7 linked regions of the Cricetulus griseus genome follow. The protein of the gene in region 7 purifies or fractionates together with the protein of the main gene of each other region. This does not show direct contact. Links are inferred from orthologs where the notes say so. Each region holds a gene or a part of one and is shown on either strand. Other genes may lie near its edges.

What was found.
Region 1: the proteins of Lrrk2 (region 7) and Slc25a22 purify together in Homo sapiens (co-immunoprecipitation; 3 studies listed by IntAct, with this or other methods). This does not show direct contact. The link is inferred for Cricetulus griseus from reciprocal best matches to the Homo sapiens genes LRRK2 and SLC25A22.
Region 2: the proteins of Lrrk2 (region 7) and Myo1c purify together in Homo sapiens (affinity purification with mass spectrometry; 3 studies listed by BioGRID and IntAct, with this or other methods). This does not show direct contact. The link is inferred for Cricetulus griseus from reciprocal best matches to the Homo sapiens genes LRRK2 and MYO1C.
Region 3: the proteins of Lrrk2 (region 7) and Emd purify together in Homo sapiens (co-immunoprecipitation; 3 studies listed by IntAct). This does not show direct contact. The link is inferred for Cricetulus griseus from reciprocal best matches to the Homo sapiens genes LRRK2 and EMD.
Region 4: the proteins of Lrrk2 (region 7) and Dnm1l purify together in Homo sapiens (co-immunoprecipitation; 6 studies listed by BioGRID and IntAct, with this or other methods). This does not show direct contact. The link is inferred for Cricetulus griseus from reciprocal best matches to the Homo sapiens genes LRRK2 and DNM1L.
Region 5: the proteins of Lrrk2 (region 7) and Prdx3 purify together in Homo sapiens (co-immunoprecipitation; 3 studies listed by BioGRID and IntAct, with this or other methods). This does not show direct contact. The link is inferred for Cricetulus griseus from reciprocal best matches to the Homo sapiens genes LRRK2 and PRDX3.
Region 6: the proteins of Lrrk2 (region 7) and Dnaja1 purify together in Homo sapiens (co-immunoprecipitation; 4 studies listed by BioGRID and IntAct, with this or other methods). This does not show direct contact. The link is inferred for Cricetulus griseus from reciprocal best matches to the Homo sapiens genes LRRK2 and DNAJA1.

What each region holds. Positions count from the first base shown.
Region 1 is NC_048596.1:59,745,892-59,750,666, reverse strand, and holds the start of Slc25a22 (mitochondrial glutamate carrier 1), read right to left. Parts: upstream 3,158-4,775; 5' UTR 3,026-3,157; exon of another isoform or gene 3,012-3,025; intron 2,205-3,011; exon of another isoform or gene 2,183-2,204; intron 837-2,182; exon of another isoform or gene 747-836; intron 19-746; exon of another isoform or gene 1-18. Other genes in the region: Pidd1 (p53-induced death domain-containing protein 1), read right to left, coding at 4,257-4,515. UniProt on the Homo sapiens protein: Mitochondrial glutamate/H(+) symporter. Responsible for the transport of glutamate from the cytosol into the mitochondrial matrix with the concomitant import of a proton. Plays a role in the control of glucose-stimulated insulin secretion.
Region 2 is NC_048600.1:89,129,459-89,133,471, reverse strand, and holds part of Myo1c (unconventional myosin-Ic), read right to left. Parts: intron 3,963-4,013; coding exon 3,882-3,962; intron 1,149-3,881; coding exon 1,043-1,148; intron 954-1,042; coding exon 836-953; intron 335-835; coding exon 221-334; intron 143-220; coding exon 66-142; intron 1-65.
Region 3 is NC_048604.1:1,461,187-1,465,683, forward strand, and holds the start of Emd (emerin), read right to left. Parts: upstream 2,905-4,497; 5' UTR 2,768-2,904; intron 1-2,767. UniProt on the Homo sapiens protein: Stabilizes and promotes the formation of a nuclear actin cortical network. Stimulates actin polymerization in vitro by binding and stabilizing the pointed end of growing filaments. Inhibits beta-catenin activity by preventing its accumulation in the nucleus.
Region 4 is NC_048597.1:73,166,557-73,170,322, reverse strand, and holds part of Dnm1l (dynamin-1-like protein), read right to left. Parts: intron 3,295-3,766; coding exon 3,238-3,294; intron 2,610-3,237; coding exon 2,532-2,609; intron 2,253-2,531; coding exon 2,220-2,252; intron 669-2,219; coding exon 492-668; intron 344-491; coding exon 234-343; intron 1-233. UniProt on the Homo sapiens protein: Functions in mitochondrial and peroxisomal division.
Region 5 is NC_048596.1:448,331-452,343, forward strand, and holds part of Prdx3 (thioredoxin-dependent peroxide reductase, mitochondrial), read left to right. Parts: intron 1-426; coding exon 427-568; intron 569-1,610; coding exon 1,611-1,746; intron 1,747-3,897; coding exon 3,898-4,001; intron 4,002-4,013. UniProt on the Homo sapiens protein: Thiol-specific peroxidase that catalyzes the reduction of hydrogen peroxide and organic hydroperoxides to water and alcohols, respectively. Plays a role in cell protection against oxidative stress by detoxifying peroxides.
Region 6 is NC_048595.1:101,876,018-101,880,628, reverse strand, and holds the start of Dnaja1 (dnaJ homolog subfamily A member 1), read left to right. Parts: upstream 1-1,715; 5' UTR 1,716-1,853; intron 1,854-2,222; exon of another isoform or gene 2,223-2,238; intron 2,239-2,927; 5' UTR 2,928-2,937; coding exon 2,938-3,069; intron 3,070-3,199; coding exon 3,200-3,377; intron 3,378-4,611.
Region 7 is NC_048595.1:388,262,787-388,266,799, reverse strand, and holds part of Lrrk2 (leucine-rich repeat serine/threonine-protein kinase 2), read right to left. Parts: intron 3,694-4,013; coding exon 3,443-3,693; intron 3,167-3,442; coding exon 3,018-3,166; intron 458-3,017; coding exon 364-457; intron 1-363. UniProt on the Homo sapiens protein: Serine/threonine-protein kinase which phosphorylates a broad range of proteins involved in multiple processes such as neuronal plasticity, innate immunity, autophagy, and vesicle trafficking.

The sequences.
Region 1 (4,775 bases), on a different chromosome or scaffold from region 7:
TCACACGCATATGCTCACGCACTGAAGGCAAGCTCCAGCTTTTAAAGGGCCAGGTGCCTTTTAGTGCAGTGGTACTTGAGACCCTGGACTTGAGCTGTGGTAACCAGTCCCCATCCCTAAGCAGAGGCAGCTAGCATCTGTCATTTTCAGTGGGATAGGGTGGTGGTGGTTTCTTCTTTGTGGTGCTCCTGGGCAGAGCAGACCTAGTTCCACAGCACCTCACTCTGGCTCATGGAGCCCCTTCCCATAGAGACGCAAGACCCCCCACCCACACTGAGCTGGTTGCCCACCTTCCTGTCCACTTCCCAAGGGAAGTGTTTCACTCCTAACAGACACAGGAGCCTGGGGATAAGGATTTAGGGAAGACGGGACAGGAATAAATGGCATGAGGAGGGAAGCGGTGGGATGTCTGTCTCCCAAGGCATCTGTGGCCGGTACACCCAACTCCCTTGGGGTGGGAGAAGGGCCCCTTCTATTAGCAGCGAGGATGGGAATCCTTTCGGGGGGGGGAGGGCTCCCCTGTGGGACACAATCATATAAACTAAGCTGGGGTGGGTTCCAGGAGTCCTGGTCCTCCCCTGTGTATCTCCCCGAGTCCTCAGAGGTCAGCTGTCACACACAGGTTAGTGTCCTCAGAGCTGCCACCTGGGGTCACAGACTTGTCTCACACTAAAGAGCCCCCACTGGACTTATGACCCTGAACCTGCTACCCACCTCTCCCCATACAAGCTTTGGGTTTTGCTCACCCTGAGTGCACCCCAGAGTGCGCACAACTGCTCCTCCACAGCTCCAGGGCAAGCAAGCTCACCGAGGAGATAAAGAGGCTGGCCAGGGGGAGGAGGCGAAAGGCTACAGGGATTGGCCATGGGGCGGGGCGGGGCGGGCCTGGGGGGAGGACTTTCTCTTTCACTTTGGGCTAGATGATAATCTCTGCAGCTTTGGGGAAAGGCAGAGAGGGGTGAGACAACTTCTGGGGGTCTGGGGCTGGGCCCAGCCTGGGAGCTAAAGAAGGGGTACAGACTAACCATGAGAACCATAGGGACCCCAGTCCCAGGCCACCAAGTTCTGAGGCCACTCAGTAGGTTTCCGTCTGAAGCCTGTGAGACAAGCACAGATCTGTCTATAGCCCTGGAACCCCAGGCATGGGACACCCTGTATGGACCTGTGAACATGTGCCCTTGAGAAATGGGTCAACACTCACTGTGCTGTGAGACCTGGGTGTACCCATCAGGGAACCTTAGGTTAGGTTACAAGAAGGTATACCTGTTCTCTGGAAAGAGCAAGGAAGGGATGCTTAACTATCAAAGGCCACTGCCAAGCACAGGCCCTGCTCACCTGGCAGGTCCAGAGGACATGGGGGCGGTACTCCAGGTGCCCTCTGCCCTCTGCCCCACCTCTGCACACCAGGGGCCCCAGTGGAAGAGTCCCTCCTAAGCCTGGTATGTGACAAAGGCCTGACCTCTGAACTGTAGTCTGATTTCTCCCTCCCCATACCATGCTCCAAATGTCAACTAGCTACAGCAGCTCTCCCTGCTGTCCCTTATCCATCATTCCCTTTGCCTCTGCCCTCAGAACAGTGAGCCTGGTGTTCCTCAGATGCTATCTCTCCCCACATCTGGAATCTGGGCACCTGGGTGTTGTTTGTGTCTGAGAAGTCAGACTATCTGAAGGTGGTAGGGAAGAGACAGGTAGGCACTGAGATCCCATGGGCTGAGTCAGCCCTGCACCCAGAACTAAACAAAACAGGCAAACACCAGACAGGAAAGTTGCTTAGCTGAGAATGAGGGGCTCTGCTGCCTGGAACAACAGGCAAGGGAACCCTCTGGGCTGTTCTCTCTCTCCCACCCCAGGGGTTGTTTTTGCCCCCCAACACACACACACACACACACACACACACACAGATTTCTCTGTGTAACCATGTCTGTCCTACAACTCCCTCTGTAGACCAGGCTTGGCCTCAAACTCAGATCTTCCTGCCTCTGCTTGGGTTAAAGGGCTTGTTACCATAGAAACATGACGGTACAGTCTAACCGCTGAGGATCCAGAGCTTTCTGCCTAGCTGGCCCAGGTTTCCCCAGTCAGGCCACAGGCCCACTGAGAAACATGAGTTTAGCATACAGAGGCTAACAGCTTCATACAGCTTTCCCCCACATTTCCATGAATGAAGCTGCCCATTTCCTACCTAAAAGAAAAGCAGCCGGGCGGTGGTGGCACTCATAGTCAGCACTTGGGAGACAGAGGCAGGCGGATCTCAGCTGAGTTCGAAGTCAGCCTGGTCTTCATAGAGAGTTCCAGGACAGCCAGTGCCACACACAGACCCCGTCTCTCAAAATAAAGAAGAGGAGAGAGGAGAGAGAGGAGAGAGAGGAGAGAGAGAGAGAGAGAGAGAGAGAGAGAGAGAGAGAGAGAGAGAGAGAGAGAGAGAGACAGACAAGAGAGAGCTGGGGCTGAGCCCGCCACCAGCGTGCCCCTCCCCCAATAGTCTCCCTCACCCCTTCCTCTTAGGGAGGTTAGCTTTGCCTTGCTAGCTAGAAGGGCTACAAAGAGGGCTCCACTGCGAGATGCCCTAGCGGGACCTACAAAGAAAAACCAGGGATGGGGCACATCCTCTGCTCCATGACAGATCATACCCTTTACCCCACGGTCCGGGCTGAGCTGCCCTCGCTATCTCCAGCCAGACGACACGGACTCTGACTATGAACGTGCCCACGCACGTCCACCGGGTTCCCACGTGAGCGGCGCCCCCACCCCGGCAAAAAAAAAAAAAAAAAACCACTTCAGTTCTGGGGTTTCCACACGGCTGGGACACGTGTGCAGGGAGCGCGCCCGGCAGCGCCGGGACCGAGCACGGCCTTCCGAAACACCCGAGAGACAGCCGGTTAAGGTACCCGCTGGTCCATGCTCTGCCGGAGACGCAGTATCTGAACAGATGTCACCCCTCCCAGCCACCAACACCACCCCTTTTCTCCCCGCAAGCCATCCAGATTTGGGTGGGCGCCACAGAAACTGACCGGCTAGTACTCACCACACGGCCGCCGCCGGGATCGCCTCCCCGCTGTGCCGCGCGCCCGGCCTGCACCTAAGCTGGGAGGCGCGTCTCTCGGAGGCGCGCCCGCTCCGCCCTAAACCCTGGCTGCCGTCGGCTCCCCCTCCCGGCAGGCGTGGCCACTGCCACCAGCCACAGCCTCAGGCCACCCTTGAGGGGGTGTGGGCTTTCTGGAGTATCCCTAGGCCCTCTCTTTGGTCTTCCCACCTCAAGCCGGGATGGAGACCAAGAACAGGTGGCGGGAAACCGTGTATGGTGTGGCCTGGGGGAGGTTTGGTCCCCAGATGCTCCTTAGACACCGCCCACGAGATCCCGGTGGGCAGAGCTACGCACAGTTCTGTCACAGATGACTTTGTATCCACACCTGCTGCAGGGTTACTATGTAGAATGGCTCCTCCCCCTCCCTGAGGAAGACACACTAGGGTCTAGAAATGGCTCACTGGGTAAAGGTGTTTGCAACCAAGCCTGATGACCCTGCAGAATAACCTCTGCAAAGTTATCCTCTGATACATAGACACACAATAAATAGCTTTTATTTTATGAATATGGATGTTTTCCCTGCATGCATGTCTGTGCACCATGTGTGTCTGGTGCTGTGGAAACCAGATGAGGGTGTCTGATCCTCTGGAACTTGAGTTACAAGACAGTTGTGAGCCCCCATGTGGGTGCTGGGAATTGAAACCCGGTCCCCTGGAAGAGCAGCCAGTGCTGTCTCTCCAGGTCTTCTCTGCACTCTTTTTTTTTTTTTTTTTTTTTTTTTTGGTTTTTCGAGACAGGGTTTCTCTGTGTAGCTTTGGAGCCTATCCTGGCACTCGCTCTGGAGACCAGGCTGGCCTTGAACTCACAGAGATCCGCCTGCCTCTGCCTCCCGAATGCTGGGATTAAAGGCGTGCGCCACCAACGCCCAGCCCTCCACCCTCATCTTAACGGGAGGACTTAGCATGGTAGGAAGAGTGGGCACACCCGGGGGCTAGGCTTTAGATCACCTAGGCACCCCTCCCCTCTATTCTATAAGTAAATCAATCTCTGAGGTTGTACTGGGAGTTGGAGGCTAGCTTGGGCTAGACAGTAAGACCTGTCTCAAAATAAACCAAGCTTTCAAAACCCTAAGGAGTTTTTGTATGCTGGAGCACTGTACCACACAGGTGAGGTAGAAGGATAGGGGAGGGGTTCTTCCCACTGGCCAACACAAGTCAAAGGCCAGCTGAGCTTAGGCCTGGGCAGACTCTGGGGTCTGTGAAGCCGAGGTGCCAGGCACAGTAGAGTCCTCAGGGGCCAGCCCTGTGCGCCGGATGCTGTCCTGATACTTGTGGCGGCCAAGCTCCAAGATGGCTCGCACTTCTTCAGCCACATCCTGCCTGTCACTCTGTTCCAGGGCCTGTACCAAGTGTCCCACAGCCCCAGGCTGTCCAGCCTGGCGCTCAGCCCAGGAGAAGAGCATGTGGCGGATCTGCCCATCCAGGTCATCCCTTGGAGCAGAAAAGAGTGGTGATGAAGGTGTTCTGCCCCGGACCACACACCACATACAGAGCCTCACTTTTCAAAACCGACCGAGTTCTTTGCTCCTTGGGCTAGTGACCAAACCTTCCTTTTCCAGGCTGGCATTTGCTCCACCTCCATCATCTTGAAAGCTTTCAGCTAGTGTGTGTGTGGGGGTGTGTGTGTGTGGGGTGGTGGTGGTGGTGGTATGTCTGTGTGTGTGTGTGTGTGTGGGGTTGGTCCTGAAGCT
Region 2 (4,013 bases), on a different chromosome or scaffold from region 7:
CTGGAGAGAAAGCCCAAAGGCAGTGATTTCTACTCCCCAAGATCCCTACAAGTGAGTGCTCTCACCCAGGCTCTGGCGTCGGACTTCCAGGGAGTCCTCTGTGGCAAACAGGGTCTTGGGGAATCGGATGAAGATCTTGGTCCTGGGAGGATAGCAGTGATCAGCCTCTGGATGCCACCCTCCTTCATTCCCCCAGGCAACGGGAACAGGCTCCACTCACCTGCCCATTTTATACTCTTCTGGCTTGTAGCCGAGATGTCTGACCAGCACTGCCACACCATCCTGGGGCCGTCCTGCCCACGTGGGCCATGTCTCTGGACACAGTGACTTGTACCTGGGGATGGGAAGAGCAGGAATGTACTCAGGCAAACCTAAGCCAGAGTCTGCTCTCGAGGCCCCTCTGCTTTGCCGGGTGTCTATAGGTGCTCCCACTCACTGGTACGTGATCCACATGCCCAAGGGTCCCCATTTTAAAGATGGGGGAGCTGAAGTAATTTCATCTGCCTAAGGAAGAGATGGGATTCATATCCCGGTTGGCTCAGGTCCTGTCTTCTGAATAATTACAAAACCACAACACCTTCTCTGAGCTTTTGTCACCACAGTCTCTAGTGGCAGCCTGCCAATATGCTTCTCACTAGGGGCTTCAGAAGGGTGGGGCTGTGTGTGTGTGTGCCTTGTATCTTCTTTTCCAACATAACATCAGGTCCATAGTATAAAATGGTTCCTGACCTGGGTCCCAGAGCAGCTGAGCAATGAATGCCCCTCCTCCCTTGAAGGTTCCGGGAGGTTCTCATCCTCCCACCTTACCCATTCCTGGTGGGCTGACCCCACCTACCTCTGTAGGAAAGCCTCATATTTGCGTCGATAGGCAAAGCCAGCTCTACGCACTCGCAGATTCTCCATCAGTCCCAGGTACTTGACCTGGTGTCGGATAAGCACCTCATCAAAGCGACCTGAGAGGAAGATAACGAAGACGGTCCTCAGGCTTTCACTGAGAGGCAGTGATAGCTCACTGCTCGTGCGTGGGGCCAGAAAAACCCACCAGGCTGTTTGGCATCATTTGGCTTGATGCAGCGGATATAGGCAGGCTCCTTAGACTTCAGGATCTCCACTAGCTGTAGGAGGCTCATCTTGAACTGCGTGGCAACCTGGTGAGCCAAGGGGGCATAGGAGGTTGGCTGGGGCTGAGCTGAGGCCAGTCATGTCCATACAGATTGCCCTACCTTCCTCCCATCACCCCTGCCTCACCCCACTTCCTTTCAGCCAGTTAGAGACCTCAGCTTAGAAACCCAGCTCTCCTGTTCAGTTATCCTGGCAATGCCACCACCACCCCCCCTTTTTTTTTTCTTTTCCTTCTTCCTAGTGCTGAAGAACAAAGTCAGGACCTTATGTGTGTTAGGATAGAGTTCCACCACTGAGATACCCACACACAGCCCTTATTTTTGAGAGAATTGATCAGTCTGAGGTAAAGTGCACTGGGGAAGATCTAGAAATGACCCTAAAGTGAAATTATGTCAGTAGGAGACAGCAGGAGAGAAAGGCAGTCCAGGCAGATGGCAAAGGCTTGACACACAGGGAGCTATGATCCTTGCAAGGATTTAAGGAACGCAGAGGCTGTATATCAGTGAAGAGTTTACACTGGCGAGACTAGATTTTATCTTTAGGGAAACAGTCAATGAAGAATGTGGAGCAAGGGAGTGGCAATGAGATCTGTGTTAGATTATTTCTACAGCATTTATGTGGAAGATGGATTGGTAGGGGCTGGTGGAGAGCCGGAAACCTTGGGAGAGGTTCACTGGTTCAAAGGACCTATAACAGGGATGACAAGGAACAGTAGTTATAAGGGCAAAGGAGAGGGAGTTGAGATGTATTCAGGCAATAGAAATCAGTATCACCCAGCTGGAAAAGTCCCTGGCCTGTGGGACTAGGTGGAGAGTGATCTCTGCCCCAACTCAGGAAAAGAAAAGGAGGCTGGACACGAAAGGGTCCACTTGGGGCCATCACTGGATACAGAAACCAGAGGCAAGTTACAGAGTAGGGGTAGGGGAGGGTGTATAGATAGGTATCCTGAGTAGGGAGATACTGGTTTGTTGTGGAATAATTAACTATATAAAGACGTGGGGACTAGAGAGATGATACAGTGGTCAAGAACACTGTTGTTCTAGAGGACCCCGGTTCAATTCCCAGCACCCACATGGCAGCTTATAACTGTGTGCAACTCTAGTTCTAGGGGATCTAACACTTTTTTTTTGGGGGGGGGCATTGAGACAGGGTTTCTCTGTGGCTTTGGAGGCTGTCCTGGAACTAGCACTTATAGACCAGGCTGGCCTCGAACTCACAGAGATCCGTCTGTCTCTGCCTCCCAAGTGCTGGGATCTAACACCTTTATGCCAATGCACATAAAATAAAGTTAAACAAATTATTTAAAGAAAAACCTATATAAAGCTGTGTTACATATGTTTATGCTGCAGAATATCACTTTAACTATGTAAAGGTGTGTTACATTTGTTTATGCTGCATTTGTTTAATGATGTAAAGCTGTGTTGCTTTGTCTGCCTAAGGCACCTAAGTGGTCTAATAAAAAGCTGATTGCCAATAGCTAGGCAGAGGAGGGATAGGTGGGGCTCAGGGGCAGAGAAAATTAAGAGGAAGAATCTAGGCTTGAGGAGAGAAGAGAGAAAGGAGAAAGAGAGGGAGGAGATGCCTGGGGCTAGTTGGAGAGTCAGCCAGCCAGCTACAAGCCAGCCAGATGTGGAGGAAGCAGTGAAATGAATGAAAAAAAAAAAAAAAAGTAAAAAGCCCTGAGGCAAAATGCAGACAAAGCGCTAGCAAGAAACAAGCTTAAGGTAAGGCCGAACACTCATAATCAATAATAAATCTCCGTGTCATTATTAGGGAACTAGTTGGTGGCCCAAAGAAAGTCTGCTAACACTGGCTGGAAGAGGAGGAGGCTCAGGCAGAAGATGGGGAGGACAGAGACAGGACAGCAGAGGCAGGATCCTGGCTGGGGAAGTCCACAATGTCTCTGAGCCTGCTGGAAGTACTCCAGTCCTCTCTCCCTCTTGACCTGGAGGTGTGATGACCTCTTCTGGCTCAGCCCAGTATCTGCACCTCTGGCCCTAGCTGGCTGAAGGTCCCCTGCATGTGGCACCACTGTCTGCTACATGGGTCTTTTCAACTGCCTAGCTTCCCTTGGCCTCTGCTTGTATGTACTGATCTCTTGCGGCCTCCAGCACCCTCCTACGGGTCCACCTGCCAAGCACTCAGACTCTCACCTCAAATGCTTCCTTTGCCTCGGAGCCGTCCTAGACGCCTACCTCTCCACCCCCTCAGGCAGACTGCTCCCGCTCTACGGTTCCCAAAGCATCCATGCACCTGGCTGTGAGAGCATCTATCTGTTTCCTCAGAGCTGAGAGATATCTGCTGACTAGGCAATAACACAAGTGCCCACGCAGGCTGGGGTGCTGTGGGTACCAATACAGAGAAATGCAGGTAGATACACACAACAGTCTACATATGGAGAAAAGTGGACACACAGGTATGCACTTAGAAACAGACAAAGAAGGGCCAGGGAGGTGGCTCAGTGGGCAATGACACTTCCTGGCAAGTCTGACATCCTGAGTTTGATCCCTGAGACTTAATGTGGTGGAAAGAGAAAACTGACTCCAGTAAGTTGTCTTCTGACCTTTCTCACGCCACAGCATATCACACACACACTAGGGTGGGGGGAAAAATAGGCAAAGACAGTTCCAAGAGCAGCCTCCTGCAGACACCCATGGATGTGCACATGGGTGTTAAACACACTCACAGTCACAGTGCCACGTAGGCTGTGATCTGCACTCAGGCACACACACACCACTCCAGTGTCATAGTCTCCGCACCGTTTCTGGCCGCTTCTTGTCACTGAGCTCATTCCTGTCAAAGCACTGGCTCATGATGGGGTTCATCGAGCTGCACATGGTCTGTGAGGCAGAAGAGGGGTCACAGGGTTGAGCACAAAGCCAAAGATGCAC
Region 3 (4,497 bases), on a different chromosome or scaffold from region 7:
CACTATAAAATCCTATCACAGATGTTATCAGGAATCTGAACTGTGGTTTTCTTGCACAAACCTGGAGCTTAAGTCTAGTCCATTGCAGTGTAACTCCCTTCTCTACCATTCAGCAGAAGAATCAAGATCCCAGAGTCTAAAGAGGCTTTTGCAATAGCCCCAAATTGAGTGATTCATGGAAATATTCTCCACAGGAAGTACCTGGTCATCTAGGTGCTACAAAAGTCTGGCCTCAGACCTCACTCAGGATTTGTCAGAGGTGCCAGAAGGATGTATGCAGGGCATTCTGTAGGTCTCTCGGAAGTTCTTCCTGGGAGGGAGTAGCTATTGGCAGGTGTGGCTATTTGGGAAAAAAAATCTTGGAAATGACCCTTTTTTTTGAGACAGGGTTTCTCTGTGTAGCTTCGTAAACCAGGCTGGTCTCGAACTCACAGAGATCTGCCTGCCTCTGCCTCCTGAGTCCTGGGACTAAAGGCATGGGCCACCACCGCCTGGCTATATGTGACCCATTCTAAGAATAAGAAAATTTTGTGAGTCCTGTAATCCCACTCAGCATTTAGGATTTTGAGTTAGGAGAATTGAAAGTTCAAGGCCTGCATGAGCTACAAGGTGAATTCAAGGCTACCTGGGTAACATAGTGGAGGCTTGGGAGGTAGTTATCTCAGTGGTAGAGTATTTGGCTGGCATGCATTAAATTCTGAATTCAGTCCAGACCCCCCCCCACCAGTTTTAAGGAAAAGTCACCATGAAAACATTTATTCAACACAGGAAGAAAATTTTGTTTGTTTTTTGAGACAGGGTTTCTCTTTGTAGCTCTGGCTGTCCTGGCAGTCACTCTGTAGACCAGGCTGGCCTCAAACTCAGAGATCTGCCTGCCTCTGATTCCTGAGTGCTGGGATTAAAGGCATGAACCACCACCGACCAGCAAGAAAATGTTTTTAATTCATGATTTTTACCAAGGAACAGTTAGTGCTGTGTTAACTAATCTTCATAGTTGATAGACCTGAAAGAAACTGGAATGCCGGGTGTTGGTGGCACACACCATTGGTCCCAGCACTCGGGAGGCAGAGGCAGGTGGATCTCTGTGAGTTCAAGAGCAGCCTGGTCTACAAGAGCTAGTTCAAGGACAGCCTGCAAAGCCACAGAGAAACCATGTCTCCAAAAACCAAAAAAGAAAAAACAAGAAAAGAAAAAGAAATTGGAGACCCTTCTTGGGTTTCTTGGATGTGTATGCATTGGGAGGGGCAGTAAAGAAAGTTCAAATTCAGTTTGTATGTGTGTGGGGGATGTCTTTGAAATGCAGCTCACAGTCACTACCTCCCCCATGCCCCTTCCATCTGCCTACCGGTTGATCTGATTACCATGCCTGTGGGTAAATGGGTTTATCCTCCGGAAAGACAATCATCTCCATGTACTCTAGTGCCACCTCACAAACTTGAAATCAAGCCACTAATTTAGCAATTTATGATAATTCATTGGCTTCCCTAGCAGAGGTCTCCTGCTAGACAGAACAGTGAGGGATCTTGATCTTATTGGGAGGCCAGAATGTGAAATGTCATTGCCAGTGGAGCCAACAAAGGTAGCACTGGATGCATAGTGCCTGGAGGGGACCCCAGCACTTTGCTCTTCAAGTTACACTATAGATTACTAAATTGACTCTGGAGATGTGATCAAACTCCCCCTCACTGCTCTTTCATATTCTTTCTTTTCTCCCTTTTATCTTACTATATAGCATGTGCCACCTTCTCTTTTTGATAATATTGAGTAGGAAAACAAATTAAATAGGCCTGTTATTCCAACATTTATGAAACAGAAATTGGGAGGGGGATTGCCACTTCAAAGCCCAGTCTGGGTGCTACATAGTGATTTCCAGATCAGCCTGAGCTGCAGAGTGAGTCCTAGTCTACACACACACACACACACACACACACACACACACACACACACACATCAGAAAAGGAAAATCTAATTTGCAATTATCTATTTCAATTTCATGTTATGTGCACACTGGCATAATGCAAATGTAGCTCATATTGGGGTTGCAGGTAAAATGAATAACAAAATGTTAAAAATGGCATTGCTTTATGTGTCCTTTCTGTAGGAAATGACATTTGAGTTGAATCTGAAACTACCAGGAAATGGGCACATAGAACAGGAAGAGAGAGCTTGACAATATTAGGTAATGGCTGTGCCTACCAACTTCACAGATATTTGGCACTTTGTACCACACTGCACACCCCCAGGCTTTAAGACTTCACCTGATTGCTTTGAGAATTCAATGTATTTTTGTTGTTTGCTCACAGCCAACAGCTGCACCTAGCAGGAACCAAATCAATGATAGCTAGCTACAAGGGCTTGTTCATTACAGTGCTCAGGGACCCATTGGGGCCTTAGGAACGAACGGTTGGTGCTCACTGCAATTACCTGTTTCATCTCTTCCCATGGAACAAGACCTGACCGGTGTGGCCAAACCAGGCTTGGGCAGAGGCAGAAGGCTGTGACTGTGGGCAATTCCCCTGTATAGGTGGCTTTGGAGCGGGGCCTTCTTTCCAGCCAGTAAGCATTTGGCTCCCTTGTACTCATCTAGCCTATTAAAGGTTGGGCCTAAACACAGGTTTTGCAGACCCCCCCCCCCCCCGGAAGCCTGGCGGCCCTCACGGAGCAGTGAGCTCATTCTGAGGGATGGCGTCGCCTGTCAGCCAGGGCACTTGAGCTCGTGGCGCGCCCCCGCATCCCCTCCCCGCCCCCGGCTCCAGGGCGATTTTACCAATTAAGGCTTTCTTGCCGGGACGGGCTCTGCCGGGCCCCGCGCGGGGCGGACGTGGGGCGGGGATGCAGCCAACAAGAAGGCGGGCAGCAGCGGCTCATTCGCGTGGAGGCGCGCGGCGCGCAGCGGACGCCAGGGGAGTTCTGAGGCCTCTGGCTCGAGCGCAGAGAGCTGGGCGCCACCCCGCGGTTGGAGGGACAGCAGGTGAGGGCTCTGTAATTAGCTCCACACCGGATAGTAGTCAGATAGTGGGTGCGACGCTCGGGAGCTGGGAAAGGTTTGGAAAGCAAGCAGAGAGGCCGAGGCCAGGCAGTTTGGGTGTGGACTCAGGTCCGAGGCATCGTGTTAGTGTCCAGACTTGCATAGTTTACCACAAACTTATGTTTGTGCTCAGGAATCTGTGAGCTCGAGGTCATGGGGGGGGGGTCCCTGAAAGAGGGGCTGGTATCTGAGTGTTTGGCAGGAGATGGGTACAGGCGTGGGTACCCATTAATTGGTCTTTGTGTGACTCTCTGGGGGTGGGAGGGAGGTCTTTTGAGACTAGTATCTTGATTGGGATAAGGGTGAGTGGCAACTTAGAAGGACACTTTTCAGCCAATGGCAAGGGTGGATATGAGTCCACCCTCATATGAATACATATGAGATGATGAGTCCCCTGCTAGTTTGGACATAGGGAGCTGATTTCGGGGCTGTGGTAGGGGTATAGCGAGACAGATTTCCAGCCTGGATCTTGGGTCCTGTCTCAGGTTGGTTCTGAGTATGACGGTCATTGCCAGCCAGAACATAAGCACCAAGGTTCCCAGATCCCAGGAAAGAAAAAGTGGGTGAAACCCACACACAGTCTCTTGCAGCTCCAAGGAGTCTGGCCAAGGTGGAAAGTTCAGGAAATCAATTCTCTATCTTGTCACACCTGAATTTGCCTTACAGGCACTGGTTTTACTTCAGGGATTTTCTGCTTCCTTCCCTCCTGGCGCCCCCTGGCTACACAAGTCTAGAAAAGCTCTTCAGGGTCCTAGTATAGCTGGTGGGCTTGGGTCTATAGTTCCCTATGGGAGGGCCTGGCCTAGGGTCTGATGGTGGGGGTGGGAGAGGTGGGCGGGGTGTGCCTAACATCGAAGAATCTACTCCAAATAAGGGAAAATATGAAAGAGCTGGATTTTGGCTTCCTGGAGCTGCCCCTGGATCTTTGAGATGGAGCGACATCTGGTGGTGGCACTGTGTCCACTCTAAGGCCAAGAACTCTCCCCCCTCCCCCACCCCTACCCCCGAAATAGCCAAATCATAGGGCTGGAAGCTGGGACTCCCAACTTCTGTGTGATCCATTACTATGATTCCGTCTTCCTTGTTTCCTGCCAATTAGTGAACTCAGGTGATCCAGACAAATGGCACACAGTGGAAAATCCATTATTGATTCAATTCCATACATGGGGATTTACTCTCCAGTAGGTCAGGGTAATCAGAAAGATAACTCTAATTATGTCTTGAATGACAGCCCTTAAATTTTCCATTTGGGTTACCCCCTCTCAGTTCTGCCATCCTGTCCCTCAACTCTCCCCTTGGCTTACTTGATGCAGGTATATATGAAAACAAAAGAGAGGATATGCAGGTGACTGGAGGTAGGATAGGGGAGTTCCATACTGAAAATGTTATTTGACGGGTGAGATTATAGAGAGTACCAAGATGAACATGCTGAGGCAGAGGTGGTGCCCATTGTGAATATAACCTTACCA
Region 4 (3,766 bases), on a different chromosome or scaffold from region 7:
TTGAGGCTAAGTCTTTCGATACCTGTAATTATAGACACACATCACTATTACTTGATCCTCTTATTATTAAATTTTTTTCCAGCTGATATATAATACCCTAATCATTCCATGTTAACAGACTAATAAGTCTTGTTACCACAGTTTAGATTTAGAATCTAAATTGTTTCATGTAAGATTTATTAAAACAGATCATGAACTCATCCAGCAGTATTTATATATTAAGTAATACTGACCTGTCTTGAATATTCTTTCTGACAATTAGAAAATAGGATTTGATGAGTCTTTCAATAACCTCACAATCTCGCTGTTCACGGGCAGACAGTTTTCGTGCAACTGGAACTGGCTAAAAGGATAAGGGGAAAATATTACTTCTGTGCCATTTTGAAATGGCAACATTTAATATTTAAAAGTTAAAATATTTTGAGACTTTAATTTTTTCTGCTACGACTTCCGTTTGTCTGTAGATTTAAATCAAATTGTTAATGACTTACCACATCCAGCAAATTGACAGCATGGCCTTTCTGTGGACTTGCTGGCATAATTGGGATTGGTTTTGATTTTTCTTCAGCAAGCAATTCTTCAGCTTTTGAAGTTTTCAGCATTCCTCTCCAGTTGCCTGTTGCTGGTTCCTGACCACCATCTCCAATCCCACCTCCTACAGATACAACCTGAAAACACAAGTGCCAAATCTATACACTGTATATCTGACAACAAATGAAGTTCATTTGGTTGGATGGTAATCCAGAACACACAGGTAGTACCTATCTGGAATTTATTCAAATAGATAATGAAGTCAGAGATAATAATGGCATTTGTCACCAGAAACCTGTGAGGTTCTGTTTGAAGCTGCCTGCAAGCCAATAGCCAATTCAGGTCCCATATAATTACTTTTTATTTGTCATTTACTGACTTTTCAAAATGTTGCATCTTTCTCCACTCCTCAAACACTACATTAAAAGCACACACAAGGAAACAGAACTGCTGCTCGGTTGCTTCTCACCAAAGTAATCTTCAACACTAGCCATTGAATATGAGCTTACAGAACTGTGAGCCTCTACATATTTCTAAAACTAGTTTATATCCCTGAGAGTCAAAAGAAAAAGTAAACCTCTTTACTAAGAGAAAGAACACTACATCCTCACACCCAACTATCACATCAAGAAGCTACCTAAAATGTGAAACGCAACATGAGCACAACATATGCTCCCCCATCCCTCATTCCGAGAAAGGAGTCAGTGAGAAGCCATTGCTCCCTTTCACCACAGTTGCTTCTGGAACCTTATTTTCTGGGTTCTGACTCTTGACTTCTAAAAGAAACAATATGAGAAAAACAAAATACACCAACATTTAAGAGATGTTTTTAGATCTTTAAGATCTTCTAAATGTAAAAGAATTGGGTCATATAAATGTAATGGAAGACTTATGGTACTTGTATGAAAATAAGCAGTTTGGGGAATCATCCAAATTTGAAAAATCTGTCACAATATCAAAAATATAAAAATAAGTGATATCTATATGTGTTAGTGAGTAATTAATTTTTAGTGTTTGTTAAACAGACATGAATTATAAATGAAATGGAATCATAAGGAAAGTGAACCATGAATGAAATAAAACTTGTGCAATGATTAGAATGGTTCCCTGGAGACTATGGCTGACAGAGAGAGATGTCCATAAGGCTCAGGATGAGAAACTTACACTTAGAGAATAAGCGGTGAAAGAAAGAGTAGAAAAGAAATAGGTCTGAGTTTTCTACCCATGATCTTTAGTGAAAAACGATTATCAAGAATTGACAAGCTTTTTTTTAAGGAATCGACAAGCTTTAATCTCTCACAGGTTGTGAATTTGCTTAAGCTTTGAAAGCACAAGTGAAATTCTATATTTAGAGTTAATACAGACAATTATGGGAAACGCAGGAAAGCACTGAACAGACTAGAGCTCAGACCATTTCCAGCTCTGAAATCTTAATCTCTACCAAAAGAAGATACTGGAAGCTAATTTTGCAGGTAGCAGATGTAGGAATGGCTATTGTTAATAACAGTTAAAACAGTGTAAAAGCTAGACTAATGCCACCTTACATGGGTTAGATAAAAGGAACATTAAGACCATAACACAGACAAGAAATGGAGGTCACTGTACGAACAGGTTTTTTGATGAATGTGAAGAGTGTTTTAGTGAGAACCAAAGGCACCAACATTTTCATTCTAAAGCAAGAGACTCACATTTTTAGTTTCTCTTCTGCTGTCCTGAATTAACTGTTAAAAGATATGTTAAAACATGCAATTTAACAAGCAAGATTTAAACAGTAATAGCTTGAAAGTTTAAAAGTAGAAGATCATTTCTTCTATGTATATCTTCTATATAGCAAGCAAAGGAAAGCATGTCAACAATACTCGGATATATACTTTGCTATACAATTTAAAAATCTGGACAGGCTAAAATAGTCTAACACAATGCCCCATATTAATATCATTTTATTCAGCATACTGTCTCCAAACTTGGCATGCAGGCTTAGATTAGGAATGAGAACAGACCTTGCCATCAGCCTCGGCAGAAGCAGCAGGGGAGGGCTCCTGGGAGGCAGGTGCCAAAGCACTTGGAACTTTAGAAGACTAAAGGCAAAAATGCAGGGGGGAAAAAAATCAAGGATGCCAAATGCATTTGGAAACATTTTATAGACAAAATTTTCCCTCTATAAACAAAATAGTAAAGTAATTAAAAAAAACAAAAGTACCCATGGAGATACAAGTCTATACTCTGCTTCATTTCCTACAGCACTGTCCCTTGTCAAGCTTTTCTGCAAATGAAAACTTACTTAAGAAAACCCGAATCTAATGCTGCTTGCTGCTCCTTGCGGGGTGGGGTAGGGTGTCCAGCACTTAATGAGAGCTTTTCTGACAAGGAACCCAAGATAAGAGGTGTAACTGCTGAAAGTTGCTGCAAAGAATTAACACCTACTACATACACAGTTTTCGTCCCTCTCCCAAAGCCCTTATGATAAAATCATTATTGAACAAATCTGAATCTTATAAAGAATCTGAATCTTATAAAGAATCCTTGATGCTTAAAAGCCACCTTTATTTTTAAATTATTCAAAGCTTTTTAAAACTTTATACACCATCCTTAAACCATCAGAGACAGAGGAAGTAAAATATTCTCACAGAGAAATACACCTGGCTGAGGCTGAGCTCTCCCCTGAGGTGTGGAGAATATAACATAAAAACAGTTTTATTTATTTACCTTGTCTCGTGATACAGCTGAAGGTAGTTCTCTTGCTAGCCTGTTTCTTCTTTGTTCCTATAAAATGTAACCAAGTTTTTATAATTATCAGAATATTGAGATAGAGGTCTACTAAAACATGTTCATCTTAGTTGAAAAGTGTGTAGTAACTTACAGATTTATCCTATTACTCTTGGGAACTTATGCCATAATTGATTATATTAAAAAAAAAAAAACAAACAAAACAACTCTAGAAACCTAAAGCTTCCCTATGCTTGTTTGTTTTCTTCCCAAACACAATTGCTCAGGGATACAATACAGCATCAGCAACGGAGGCTCTCTTTACCAGGGACTCCCAAATGAAGGGTAGAAGAATGTGAGTATACAGATCATAGAAAATGTAAACTCTTAAAAGTCATTCAAACTACAAAAAAACAACCAAAAACCCCATATCTTAAATGTCTGTTTTTAAAAAAGAGTTATCCTATTACAAAAAAAAAAAAAAATGCTGATTCCTGGAAATAGTACTGAAAGTGGAAAGTAAAAATAA
Region 5 (4,013 bases), on a different chromosome or scaffold from region 7:
GTTTGACCTTGAGAACCCATATATAACGAGACATGGTAGTATACACTTGGTAATATGTCCAGCTAGCCTATGTGGTAAGCTCTAAGTTTATGATACTCTAAAAGAGAGAAAAGGTTTTTAAAAATGAAAAGGGGTAGATGGCTTCTGAGGATCAATACCATGGGGTGTCTTTCATCACACGGACACTTCTCCCTACCACTGAGTTGGATTTGTGTTTAATTTAGACCTGTACTAAAGGGAAAATTGCTGTACTTAAGATACACAATTAAAGTAAGCCGTCTCACTGAGTTGTATTAATAACATATCACCAGTCGTGATAAATAATAAATTTATTTGATTAGTTTCAATGAAACGAGTTTAAATAAAGTCATGCGGTGCTTGATGTGGTGGATGACAAGCTACAGACAGGTATGTGGTCTTTTCTAGGTTCCTCATTCCACACCCCTGCTGTCACACAGCATGCACCCTATTTTAAGGGCACAGCTGTTGTCAATGGAGAGTTCAAAGAGCTGAGTCTTGAAGACTTTAAGGGGAAATACTTGGTGCTTTTCTTCTACCCTTTGGATTTGTAAGTGATTCTATAATGCTTTATGTCCTGAGAGCTGGTGTTGGTTTATAACCCACAATGAAATTCCTCTTCTAGTGAAGAGGAAGATTCTCTGATTTTTGTCCCCTGGTCTTGGCTGTATGTGGCTCCTGTGATGAGCATAATGGGAAAAAATGACTTTACTTCTAATGGAAGAGTTTTAATATGATTCTGTAGTTTTTCTGGTGGTCCTGGGGATCAAAACCCAGGCCTTGTTCATGCTAGGCAAGCGCTTTATCACTTTATGCTCTCAACCTTTTGTGTTTTGTTTTTTGTTTTTTTAAATGTCTTTTTCGAGACAGGGTTTCTCTGTATTGCTTTGGAGTCTGTCCTGGAACTCACTCTGTAGACCAGGCTGGCTTCAAACTCACAAGAGATCCTCCTGTCTCTGCCTGCCCAGTGCTGGGATTAAAGGTATGTGCCACCAACGCCTAGCACTCTGAACCTTTAATACAGTTCTGTATTACATGCTTTTGATTAATGGTTCTCTAAACCGGTTTAAACTTTTTACCAGTCTGGTTGGAAAATGAGAAAGTAGTATAAGAAATGAGTTTTTCATAAAGCAGCTTTGTTTTAAGTACAGGTTTTCTTTTTAAGTCTTCAAACACATTACCCCCCCCCCCAGCCCCATGCAGATTGATTGATTGATTGATTGATTGAGGCAGGACATCTCTACATAACCCTGGCTGTCTTGGAACTCACTGTAGACCAGGCTGACATCAAATTCACAAAGGTCTGCCTGCCTCTGCCTCCCGGTGCCCAGCAACAAGAAGGAAGGAAGCTTACTCTTTTTTTGGGGGGGGGGGACTGGGGAAGTGGGCATTGTCTCTATTTGTAGACCAAGCTGGCCTGAACAGACAAATATCCTCCTGCCTCTACTTCTGAGTTCTGGGATTAAAGGTGTGTGCCACCAACCCAGCCCATTTCGCTCCCTAAGCAAATCAGCTTAGTTTTTAGACAACTTATGTTTATGTCTTAAATTTTGTCTTTGCATAATCTGATGAAACTTTCTTTTTCTCCCAAGCACATTTGTGTGTCCTACAGAAATCGTTGCTTTCAGTGACAAAGCCAATGAATTTCATGATGTAAACTGTGAAGTAGTTGCAGTTTCGGTGGATTCCCACTTTAGCCATCTTGCCTGGATCAATACACCAAGGAAGGTAGGTTGGTTGACAAGTCACCTTTCCTTGGTTTTATTTCATTCTTCTTTGGTTTCATTTCTAAATCATAAATAATATAGACCACACAGTAAAACAGTGTGTATTTGTGAGATACAGTGTGATATTTTGATACTTGTGTGTTGTGCAAGTATCAAATCAGGCTATTCAGCACTGTTTACTCAATCATTTCTTTGTGGCTGTGATATTCAAAATCCTTTTTTAACTAGGCAGGCTGGTTCATAACTTTAATCCCAGTACTCAGAAGGCAGAGGCAGGAGGATCTTTGTAAGTTTTAAGCTAACGTGGTCTACCTAGTAAATTCCAGGGCAGCCAGAGCCACGTGGTGAGACCCTGTCTCAAACAAAAATCCCTAGCCAGGCAGTGGTGGCACACACCTTTAATCCCAGCATTCGGGAGGCAGAGGCAGTCAGATCTCTGTGAGTTTAGTGACTAGCCTGGTCTACAAGAGCTAGTTCCAGGACAGCCTCCAAAACCACAGAAAAACCCGTCTCCAAAAAACAAAACAAAAATTAATAATAATAATCTTCTTTTAGCTAGTTTAAAAAATATAATATGTTCTAACTATAGTCATCTATTGTGTACAGAAGAACAAAACTTATTTTTCTTATATAACTAATCATTGACCAGTGTCTCTTCCTCATTCCCCAGCTACCCCTGTCCCCTATACTAACAGAAGAGATTTAAGACAAAGCCTAGAGGTTGTCAAAGCATAGCCAGTCTGAAGTGAGTTTCTTGCCTCACCCGCCGCCACCCCCTTCTTCCTTTCAAAACCAGTGTCTCATGTGTTTCAGGCTGGCCTCTTAACTGGATGTATTAGCCCAGATGACCTAAACTTCTGATCCTGCAGCCTCCACCTTCCAAGTGCTAGGATCAGAACCTGGTTTATGCCTTCCTGGGGATCAAATCCAGGGCTTCATGCCTGCTAGATAAACTGTTTACCAGGTGAGCCATATCCTCCTTAAGTAGGCTGTTTGTAGATCCTTGCCCATCAGCAGTCTGTAAACTATGGTAGTAATAATTCCCTGGACACTGTATGTATCTTTACTACTCATTCCATGTATATTTTCCAAGGTTCAAATAGTAATGGAGACAGGCTCAGTGGGACAGGGGGCATGGCTTCGGTCTATTACCTCCTCTTAGGCCTGTACTCTGAACCTATAGTAGCTTGCTGGACTGTTCTTTATGATGTTGCCTAGAAATATGCTAGGAAAAACAATCAGAATTCCACTAGGTCTGACACAGGACTAACACTAGTGACTTGAGTAATTTGTCACACCTTCATTATTATGTTTGAGAAATTAGTTTTCATCTCAACAGCTGCTTTAACAATTGGAAAAAGAGAGAAGGGTATGCGCAGAGCTTTTCCTTAATGGGCAAGAAGCCTTGGGTTCGGTCCCCAGTACCATATAAACTGGTTGGGTTAGCATAGCCTGTGATCCCAGCGTTCCAGATCATCATTGGCTACGTAATAAATGAGAGGCCAGTCTGGCTACATGAGACCCTGTCTCAAAAGGAAAGGTAAATCAGACTGTAGCAGTGTCCTGAAGAAAAAGTACTCTTTTTGAGCTTCAGTTTCCTCGTCTGTAAAATAATGGAAATGGGCCATTGAGGTGGCTCAGCAGGTAAAGTGCTTGCTGGGCAAACATTACAACCTGAATTCTTTCACTGGAGCCCACATAAAGTGAAGGAGTTCCACAGTTGCCCTCTCACCTCCACACACATACACGTCAGTTAATAAAAGGAAATGGGCACTGGAGAGATGGCTCATCAGTTAAGACCACTGCTGTTCTTCAAGAGGACCCAGCTTCAGTTTCCAGCATCCACATGGGAGCTTACAACTGTTTTCAATTCCAGGGGATCCGATGCCCTCTCCTGACCTCTTCAGACACTGCATGCCTGTGGTATGCAGGTAAAACACTCAAACACATAAAATTAAAGTAAATTTTAAAAAACATAATGTCAGATATAATTGTATGTACTTTAGGCAGGTTGCAGGAGGGAAGTTAAACAGAATTCCCTTGTGTGCATTTGCTATTATTTACCTCCATTGCTGTTAGTTTTAAACATTGGTACATGTTTCAGACCTTTTCGGATCACTGAGAAAACTGGTCCCATTTGCCTTTTTATTAGAATGGTGGCTTGGGCCACATGAACATCACGCTCTTGTCGGATTTAACCAAGCAAATATCCAGAGACTACGGAGTTCTGTTGGAAGGTGCTGGCATTGCACTCAGGTAAGAGCTGGT
Region 6 (4,611 bases), about 290 Mb from region 7:
TAGTAAAAGTCTGCAAGGGAAGTAGTGTAGCTTTAGTGCCTGAAATAGTTTAATGAAAGCATTAAGGCTGAAGAGGCAAACCGCACAAGGCTGGCACTCCAAAACCTTAGCTTATTAAGACATACCAAGAGGTAAAGAAGTCTCCAGATAGGTTTGAAAACAGCCTTTACAGCTCCCTTAGCTCTGGCTACATCCAATTACCTATGATTTCCTTAAGACACTGAGATGACAGCTCTGCTGGTAAAGCACGGAAGACCTGAGTTACCTATGGAAAAGTAGGAGAAAGCTGCAATGCTCCACGTGCACACACACAATAAGGCGAACATTTAAAGCATCACATTCCACACACCTAGGCTTCCAGTGCTTTCTTTGTCCGTTAGGAAATGTGCTCAACTGCGTTTTGTACAAGTGCTGAGCTACATTTTGTGACTTCTCTTGTAATTTGCTTTGTTCAACATCCAACAAAATTCTAAGCAGGAGGCTCAGTGGTGTGGTTAAGAGCATGTATTAGTCTTCACAACTGCCTGGAGGCTGAGAAGTTCAGAGTTTGAGGCCAGCTTTGGCTACAGAGAGTACTAGGCTACCCTGGTCTATAATGTGGCAAGACCCTTTCTGAAAAAACAAAGCCAAGGAGGGTAGAGAGAGATGGCTTATCAGTTAAAAGCACCAGGTGGCTCACAACAGCCTGTAATTCCAATTACCTGGGATCCCACTCCCTATCCTGACCTCCAGGGGCACTAGGCATGCATGTGGTGCACATACACACATATAAACCAAACACTCATACACATACAGTAAATATAAAAATAAAAAATCCAAACAAAATATACGAGTCTCTGTATAAAAGTAACCTGAACAGACTCCATGCCTCTGACTTCCTTGGGCACCTACACAGACACACAAGATTGAAAGTAAATCTTTATAAAATATGTCAACTCTACTTTCCCAAGCTTGCACCTCCAGCTGCTTTGTTTGATACGTCTACTGGGTTACTGAATAAGAAAAAAACACTCCATTTTTTCATTCTGTCCTTTGAAGGCCTAAGGTTCACTTTGCCAACTGCAGATTTTGATTCGCTGACTAGACCTAAAGATGGTCAGAAAATTAAAACAATTAGCTAAAGAAATTTTCTTTTTTGTTGCTACTCTGCAGTCAAACGTAGTGGGAGATTGACTAGAAAAGAATCCACTGCCCTCAATTTACATAAAGCATTCCCTGTTTGCTGCAGCCCCAGGTTCCCTCGGCCTGAGGCATTGGAGACTTAAGGATTTGAAGCCTGGGCTCGCCCAGAAAGCTCTCACACGGAAGTGCACTTGGGTGAAACCACCAGATTCAAAGCCTGCAAGGTTGGTCTGGCGACTAGGCCGGTCTGGCTCAGCATTTCTTGCCTGCAGGGCTCAGAAATAAGGGGCTGCAAAAAATTAGGCTCCGGGTGGGGTTAGGGTTGGGGTTGGGTTCCGGCAGGTCCCCTTCGGCGAAGCGCCTGCGGCATACATAACCTCTGCACTTCAAGACTTCCGCACTCTGGGCCCTCACAGTAAAGAAAGGCCTCTAGAAGATTCCACGAGTCTCGGAACCCGGGCCTGAGTCCACCCCCACAAGGCCCTTGGGCACGGCCACTCCCAACCCCAGCGCCCCCGCGCCGTTGCCCAGGTAACCGAGGGGCGGCGGCAGCGGCGTGGGGCGGGACTTCCGGCGAGTGACGCGCCCGGGCTCGGCTACAAAAGAGGTCGGCTGCGGCGGGCCGGGCGGAACTTTCCAGAACGCTCCGTGGGAGGTGGAGGAGCAGCGTCTGCCCCAACTGCGTTGTGCTACGCTCCTCTTTCCGCTCTCCGGCACCGGCCCGCTCACCGGTGAGTCTCGGCCCTCGGGCCTTCCTCGGCCGCGACGTGCGGCCTGGGCGCCAGATAGCCGAGGGGAGCCGCAGCCGGAGGCGGTTGGCCCCGCGTGGGCAGGGGCTGCGGGCTCCCTGAGCCGGAATCCGGCTTCGGAAGGCCGCCGGGATGCCCGGCGCCCTCCCCGACCGTCTGTACGCCGCGAGGAGGCCCAAGGCCCGAGCCAACTCGGCGCCCGCCTCAGACTCCTGTCGGTGCGCACCCCTTTCTCCCCGCCGCCCGCGCCGGGTGGGCAGCGCTGCGCACGCGCGGACCGAGGCAGGGGTGAGGGGCTGCGGGAGGAGCCGGGCGGAGGCTGCGGCTTGTGCTTCTTCTCCTGGCTCTCCTCCCTCTCTTTGTTGAGGTCCGGCCTTCCCCCTCCGCCTTTTCGATCCGGGTGGGAGGGAGAAAGGAAGGAAACCTTAACTGTAGGCGCCAGGTGCTGGGGGGAAATCCAGAGGGCGAGTCAGCTTGGCGGGCCTGAGGGACGAGAGTGGGTAAGCGGCGAGCAGGATCAGGATGGCGACGGGGCCGGGGGCACCTGCTCCCCGGAGCTGGTCTCATAAGCCACTCCTCCACCCCCGGGAGTCCACTGTCCTTTTCCGGCGAGTGAGGGCCTTTATCAGATGTACAAAGGCAGTGCTAATGTACTAACCAATGGACAGAACCTACCAGTGCTGCTTTGGGTTACTAGCACAACCTGTGGGGAAAGGAAACCGGAAGGAGCCCCATCACACATGTGTTAGTGCGGCAGAGTAGGAACCAGCTGCTAGAAAGGCTTTCGAGTTCCCCGCAATTTACGTTTATATTTAGTCTGTTAGAATTTTCAGCCAGATCATATCAGGAATTGATAGCTTTAAAGTTAGCGAAGGCAGTGTTCTTTATACGGCAAAGAACAGATTGCTCTAGTTCTGGTAGTTTGCTAAAAACTACCAATTAAAAGCCGGTCATGGTGGCTCACACCTTGAACCCGGCTCTCAGGAGGCAGAGGCAGGTGGCGCTTCTGCACAGCACTAAAAGCTGGTTTAAAGCTCCCCGTTTTTCTGATTTCAGGCTGTGAAAGATGGTGAAAGAAACCACTTACTATGATGTTTTGGGGGTCAAACCCAATGCCACCCAGGAAGAACTGAAGAAGGCATATAGAAAATTAGCCTTGAAGTACCACCCTGATAAGAATCCAAATGAAGGAGAAAAGGCAAGTACATTCTCGAACAGTTCAGCAGTGTTGCCATGTGTGTACTGCTGGTGCCCGAAAGTCAAGGTTGTAATACAGTGGCTGTGCCGTGTGACAGTTATTTCTAATGGGATTTCTTTTTCTGAAACAGTTTAAACAGATTTCTCAAGCTTATGAAGTTCTTGCTGATTCCAAAAAAAGGGAATTATATGATAAAGGAGGAGAACAGGCCATTAAAGAGGGCGGAGCAGGTGGTGGTTTTGGCTCACCCATGGATATCTTTGACATGTTCTTTGGAGGAGGAGGGAGGATGCAAAGAGAACGGAGAGGTAAGAAAAAGTACAGCTTACCTGCAGCAGAATGAAATGGCTGCTACTGAAAAACTGAATTTACTACCTTCAGTGCTTGTTTACATATTGGTATGATGCCTCTGATTTCTGGTGTCATTTAAAATTGAGATTTTTAAAAAAGAAATTTAGATAGTTGAGATTTTTATGTAATCAAAATAGCTAAGCCAATCTAGTGGGTATCTCCCATCCACAGATACCCAAACAGTAAGATAACAGCATGGCAACCTGGGCTTCTAAGCCCTTACACATCATGCCCCTAGAACAAACACAAATGGTTAAGTGTAATGGCCTTTATCAGTTAAAGAAGAGTTGAGAAAACTGAAACATAGCAAGCCAAGACTGAAAACAGCTCATTGCCTCCAGATAACCTGCTGCCTGTTTAATCTTACTTTAGCTTGCTAACTCAGTTTATATGCATTTAATGTTTTAACAAAAAAGTTGTCTCTGAGCTAGACAGACTTCTTGGGAAGATAGCATTGGAGGTCAATAGTACTTCATTTTTGTTTACTGTGTTTTTACAAGAATTTACTGGAAATGAATGTTGTGGCCCTGAAAAGTGGCTCAGTGGTTAAGAATACTGTACTCTTTGCAGAAGATCCAGATTTCAGTGCATGGCTCACTACTGCCTGTAACTCCCGCTCAAGAGGATCTGATAACCTCTTCTGACCTCTGGGCTTTCATACAAACATGTATGCACAAAAATTAAAATTAAAAAAAATCTGTTGTGAACCATAAGGATAGTATGAGCTACTAACTTTTGGCTTATTTTAATATGAGGGTTTTTGTTGCTGCTGCTTTGGAAAGTATACTTGGTCAGTTTCCAGAAGCTTTGTTTTTCCTTTTCTGTACTCTGTATACAAAGTTAAGAAATGGGCAACTTTCAACTTGGAAGAACCTGCTTACATGTTCTTTTTGTGATAGTAGAAATCTAAAGTAAAGCTAGAAACAAAAGGATATGATACTTAACATCTCACTTAAAAGAGTAAATGTTCCTTTAGGTATGATGGTCAGAAAGGATTGAAACTGTTGTTAGCCACCAGGCAGTGCCATTTGGTGATGGATAAAGTCCTAGTGGAAGGATCACTGGCTAGGAACTTATTAACCATAGAGGGTAATTTTATTTCCATAGCCTGATTATCCTTGTGTGATCTCAACCTCCTCCTCCTATTGCCATAGGTAAATTAATTACATGTGGCATTCCTTTGTAGTCACT
Region 7 (4,013 bases):
GAAAATGTCACTGAAGTGAATGAAATTTCAAGGTTCAGGCAACAAATAAACCCCTGTGAGCAGCTAAAACCTGAAAGAAACTAACATTCATCTGACAAACATTCATCCCATGTCATCTTATTTAGATATAGGACGCTGCAGTTAATTATTCTTGTTTTTCCTACACAAAGCATGTGTAAGTTACTGCAAAGGTTGAAGAGATGGATCTTTTCTCTAGTAAAAATCAAACCCTCATATAAAAAATAAAACACTGAAGTAGGTTTATAAATGCATGATATATGTGCTCATTTCAAATCATTGCTTTACTTCTAAAAGTTATGCCACAACTCATTCAGCTTCAGAAGTAAATAACAATGAACTTACTGCGGAAGAATGAAAATTGCTTCTGGAATGCATGTGAAACCATTTTGAGATAATTTTAGGCTTGTTATGGAAAAAGGTAAGGCAGGCATCGCAGCTAAGGAAATAAAACAATATAATGGATGTTTACAATCATCTTAACTAGATTTCTGATAAATTCAGTAAGAGCAGTTGCCAGTAACATATCATTTGTGCACGTCACATTTTGTACTAACTGCATAAAACAATTTTACTTCATAATAGTACTCCACTAAATAATAAGATAAAACTGCCTATGTTCATAAATTGGCAGAATTATTTATTGCTACAATGACCATCCTACCAAAAGCAATTGCAGATTCAATGCAATACCAATCAAGATCCCTGCAGCATTCTTTACAGAAATAGAAAACAAAACAAAAACCAAAACCCTACCATTCATATATAACCATAAATAACTCCAGATAGCTAAATCAATAGGGGAAATGCAAGGGGGGGTTACCATTCTAGATAAAACATATGACACAGTTATAGTACTAAAAACTGCATTGTCCTGGCACAAAAACAGACATGTAGCTCAATGGAACAAAACAGAAAACCCAACTGTGAGTGCACATAACCACTGCCATCTAATATTTGATGAAAATGCCCAAAATTCACACTGGATAAAAGAGAGCATCTTCAACAAGTGGTGGTTGGAAAACAGGATGTCTACATGTAGAAGAATGAAATTAGGTCTGTATCTATGATCTTGAACAATATGGATAGGGAGAGGATATTTAAATGAAGTAATTCCACATAGGATGATAATACCTCCCCTAAGAGCCATGGACTATCGAACCTCAGAAGTGAGAAACCCCTCTCAAGTTGTTGGTTGGTATAGTCCAGGAGACTCCCAAACAAATATAGGCTGTCACTGTTGCCTTCCTGATACTGAAGACATCAAGTACTTTGGACACAGGACTTGAAGGATTCCAGCTGGATCTGACACGAAAGCGCTGTCCTTAAGAACTAGCTTTCATAGCAGCAGAAGGTAAAATGCAGTCAGTCAAGGGAGGAATAATAGTACTATCTAGCTGTGATGCCTACAAACAAAAATGAACAACATGGCAAGCTATCGATAAATGTTTAATAATGGCACAGACATCTTGATGGTAACTGCAAGCTGTCTAATTGGACATAGGATCTGTTCAACAGAAGGAAAATCAAGCCTGGTCCTATAAACCTAGTCAATCAAATGAGACAACTGGACTTACGGATCTTAGAGGATTTTCCTAAACCAGTATAATCCCTAACTGCTTTCTATACACGTATCCTTATACCCACAGATAGGTACAGCTCTCACCTCTCATCAAAGAGGATTCTTTTCTCTTGAGACAGGGGTCATCACAGAAATTCACAACTAGGTAAAATACAGATTAAACATTGAACACGACTACCTAGTCCCATTGATGCATCTACAACACAACCCCTGTGCTTAAGGCTCAGGGAATACCTCAGAAGCAAAGGCAGAGAGAGAGATCATAAGGGCCAGAGGTCCAGGAACTCTGCTGCAGAATTGTGTCTTCCAGAAACAGTTGAGGAGCCATACCCATGAAATCTCAACAACATGGCTGCCTGAACAGCACCTGAACAATTCTAAAACCAGTTAACATTCCAACATGGATGAGAGAAATTTCACCCACATATGAAGAGCTACAATAAATTAACAACCACTGAGACAGGGATAGTAATCCTTCTTAACTAGCTACCCAATACCAAGTGGTCAGTCCTAAAAACATACATTTTATACAAGAAACACAAAAAAGATTCAGAGGGTTGCATTTATACATTTCTTAGTGTATTTATGGTAATAAAATAACTTAAGAATAAGAAGGCTATGAATTTTAGAGAAAGTGGGAGGTGTTGGAGGAAGGAGAAAGATGGGGAAATAAATGATTCAATTATATTTAAAAATCTATTCTGCCATGAAACAGGATTAAGATTTTTTTCTGCATGAAGACAGCCATGGAAATGAAAAATGAACAAAAGTGTGATTATTATTTGCAAGCCATGTGACTGTAGTTTTTCCTATGATAATAGTAATATGCTAATGTTTTTAAACTATAGACATCTTTGAAAACAAAACTTTACACAGCTTTAGTTTTACAGATAATGAGGGTGAAGAGGACCCAGTTCCTGTTCCCCATCCTGCCTCCCCACACAGCTTTTCTCAACTATCAAGTCAGTGTTAGTTCAGCTGTAACAGGGGCCAGTACTGACACAGCAGTGTCACCATTCACGGTTTAGTTTAAGGTCATTCATTCCCTGTGTTCTGACAAACATGGCATCTGTCCATCATTGCTGTCATATAGGCACCATGTATTCTTCCCTTTCTCTTCTCTAGCCCATGATAATTATGGCACTTTTTACTGGCACCATACTTTTCCCTTCTTCAGGCTGTTTTATAAGTGGAATCAAGCTAGTGTGACATTCCTTCGCTGAAGCATGCATCTACATCCTTTTCTCCATGCTTTTCCCTGGCTTGATGGCTCAGTTCATCATCAGTCTGCCAATGTGTTTTGTAGAACTGCGGCACATTTTAACTGAAATACCACCAGTAACTTCCCTTCTAAAACACATCTATGTGCCTCTTCCTTGAAGGCCTGGTAAGGATGAAGTCAGCACACCATACTTACCAAGAGAATTCATTCGGGCACTGAAACTTTCCACTTTTGGACAAGCCTCAAGGAAGTCTTCAGGTAGGGACAGAATGTGGTTTTTACTAAGATTTAAAATCTTCAGTTCCTTCAGGCTCAAGGGAGAACAAATCCCAGATATTTTATTTCTAGTTGTAAAACACAAAACTGAGGATTAAAATGTGAATGCTTGTATAATATAAAGGTAATGAAACCAATTCACCCCCCAAGTACAGCTTTAAGGCATATTTAAGCCTCAGAGTTAACTGTGAAGATTCCAACCAGCAAAATTGCCTGAATTACCAATTGCCTCCACCTTTGCCACGTTCCCTTTAAACTCATTGCTGTAGAAATATCACCATGTTTTCTTGCCCATGCTTGTTCAGTGGGATGTAAGTGTGTTGTCTTATTGAGTGAGTTCTTACCCTTCCAGTAGGAGCTGTTCCAGTTTCTCTGCCACTTGGGCGAGGTTCTCCGGGATGGAAGAGAGCTGGTTGTATGACAGGTTAAGGTGTTTGAGGCTGGGACACATCACCAGGGGGTCAAAAACAACTGTTGGTCCAATGTCATTTCGAGAGGCATCTAGGTTGGTGATGCATGTCATTTTCAACAAGAAGGAGGGAAATGAGGTGAATTTGTTGCTGTGCAAATCCAAATGTGTCAAACACTTCAGAGTCTGAGAAGATAAAATTCAAATATTTCAAACTGAATGGTGGAGAAATAACTTCAGCACTATTTTTCCTTTTCATACCCTGACTAACTAGCATCATTGGGTTTTGTTCTTAAAAATTAAAACCACAATCCTCAATGTAACTTCAGTATACTGACTAGGCCAACAATCCCTGCTGTAGCATGAGTTAATGTTACGATAAATCTTTCCGACCAAGCTGCCTGAGCCTCACTGCCACGTGGGCAGTCTCTGCCAGCAGCCGAGTTCTGCCCGCCGCGTGGATGGACAAAATAATACAGAGACATAATAAGTACAAAGCTGCTTGG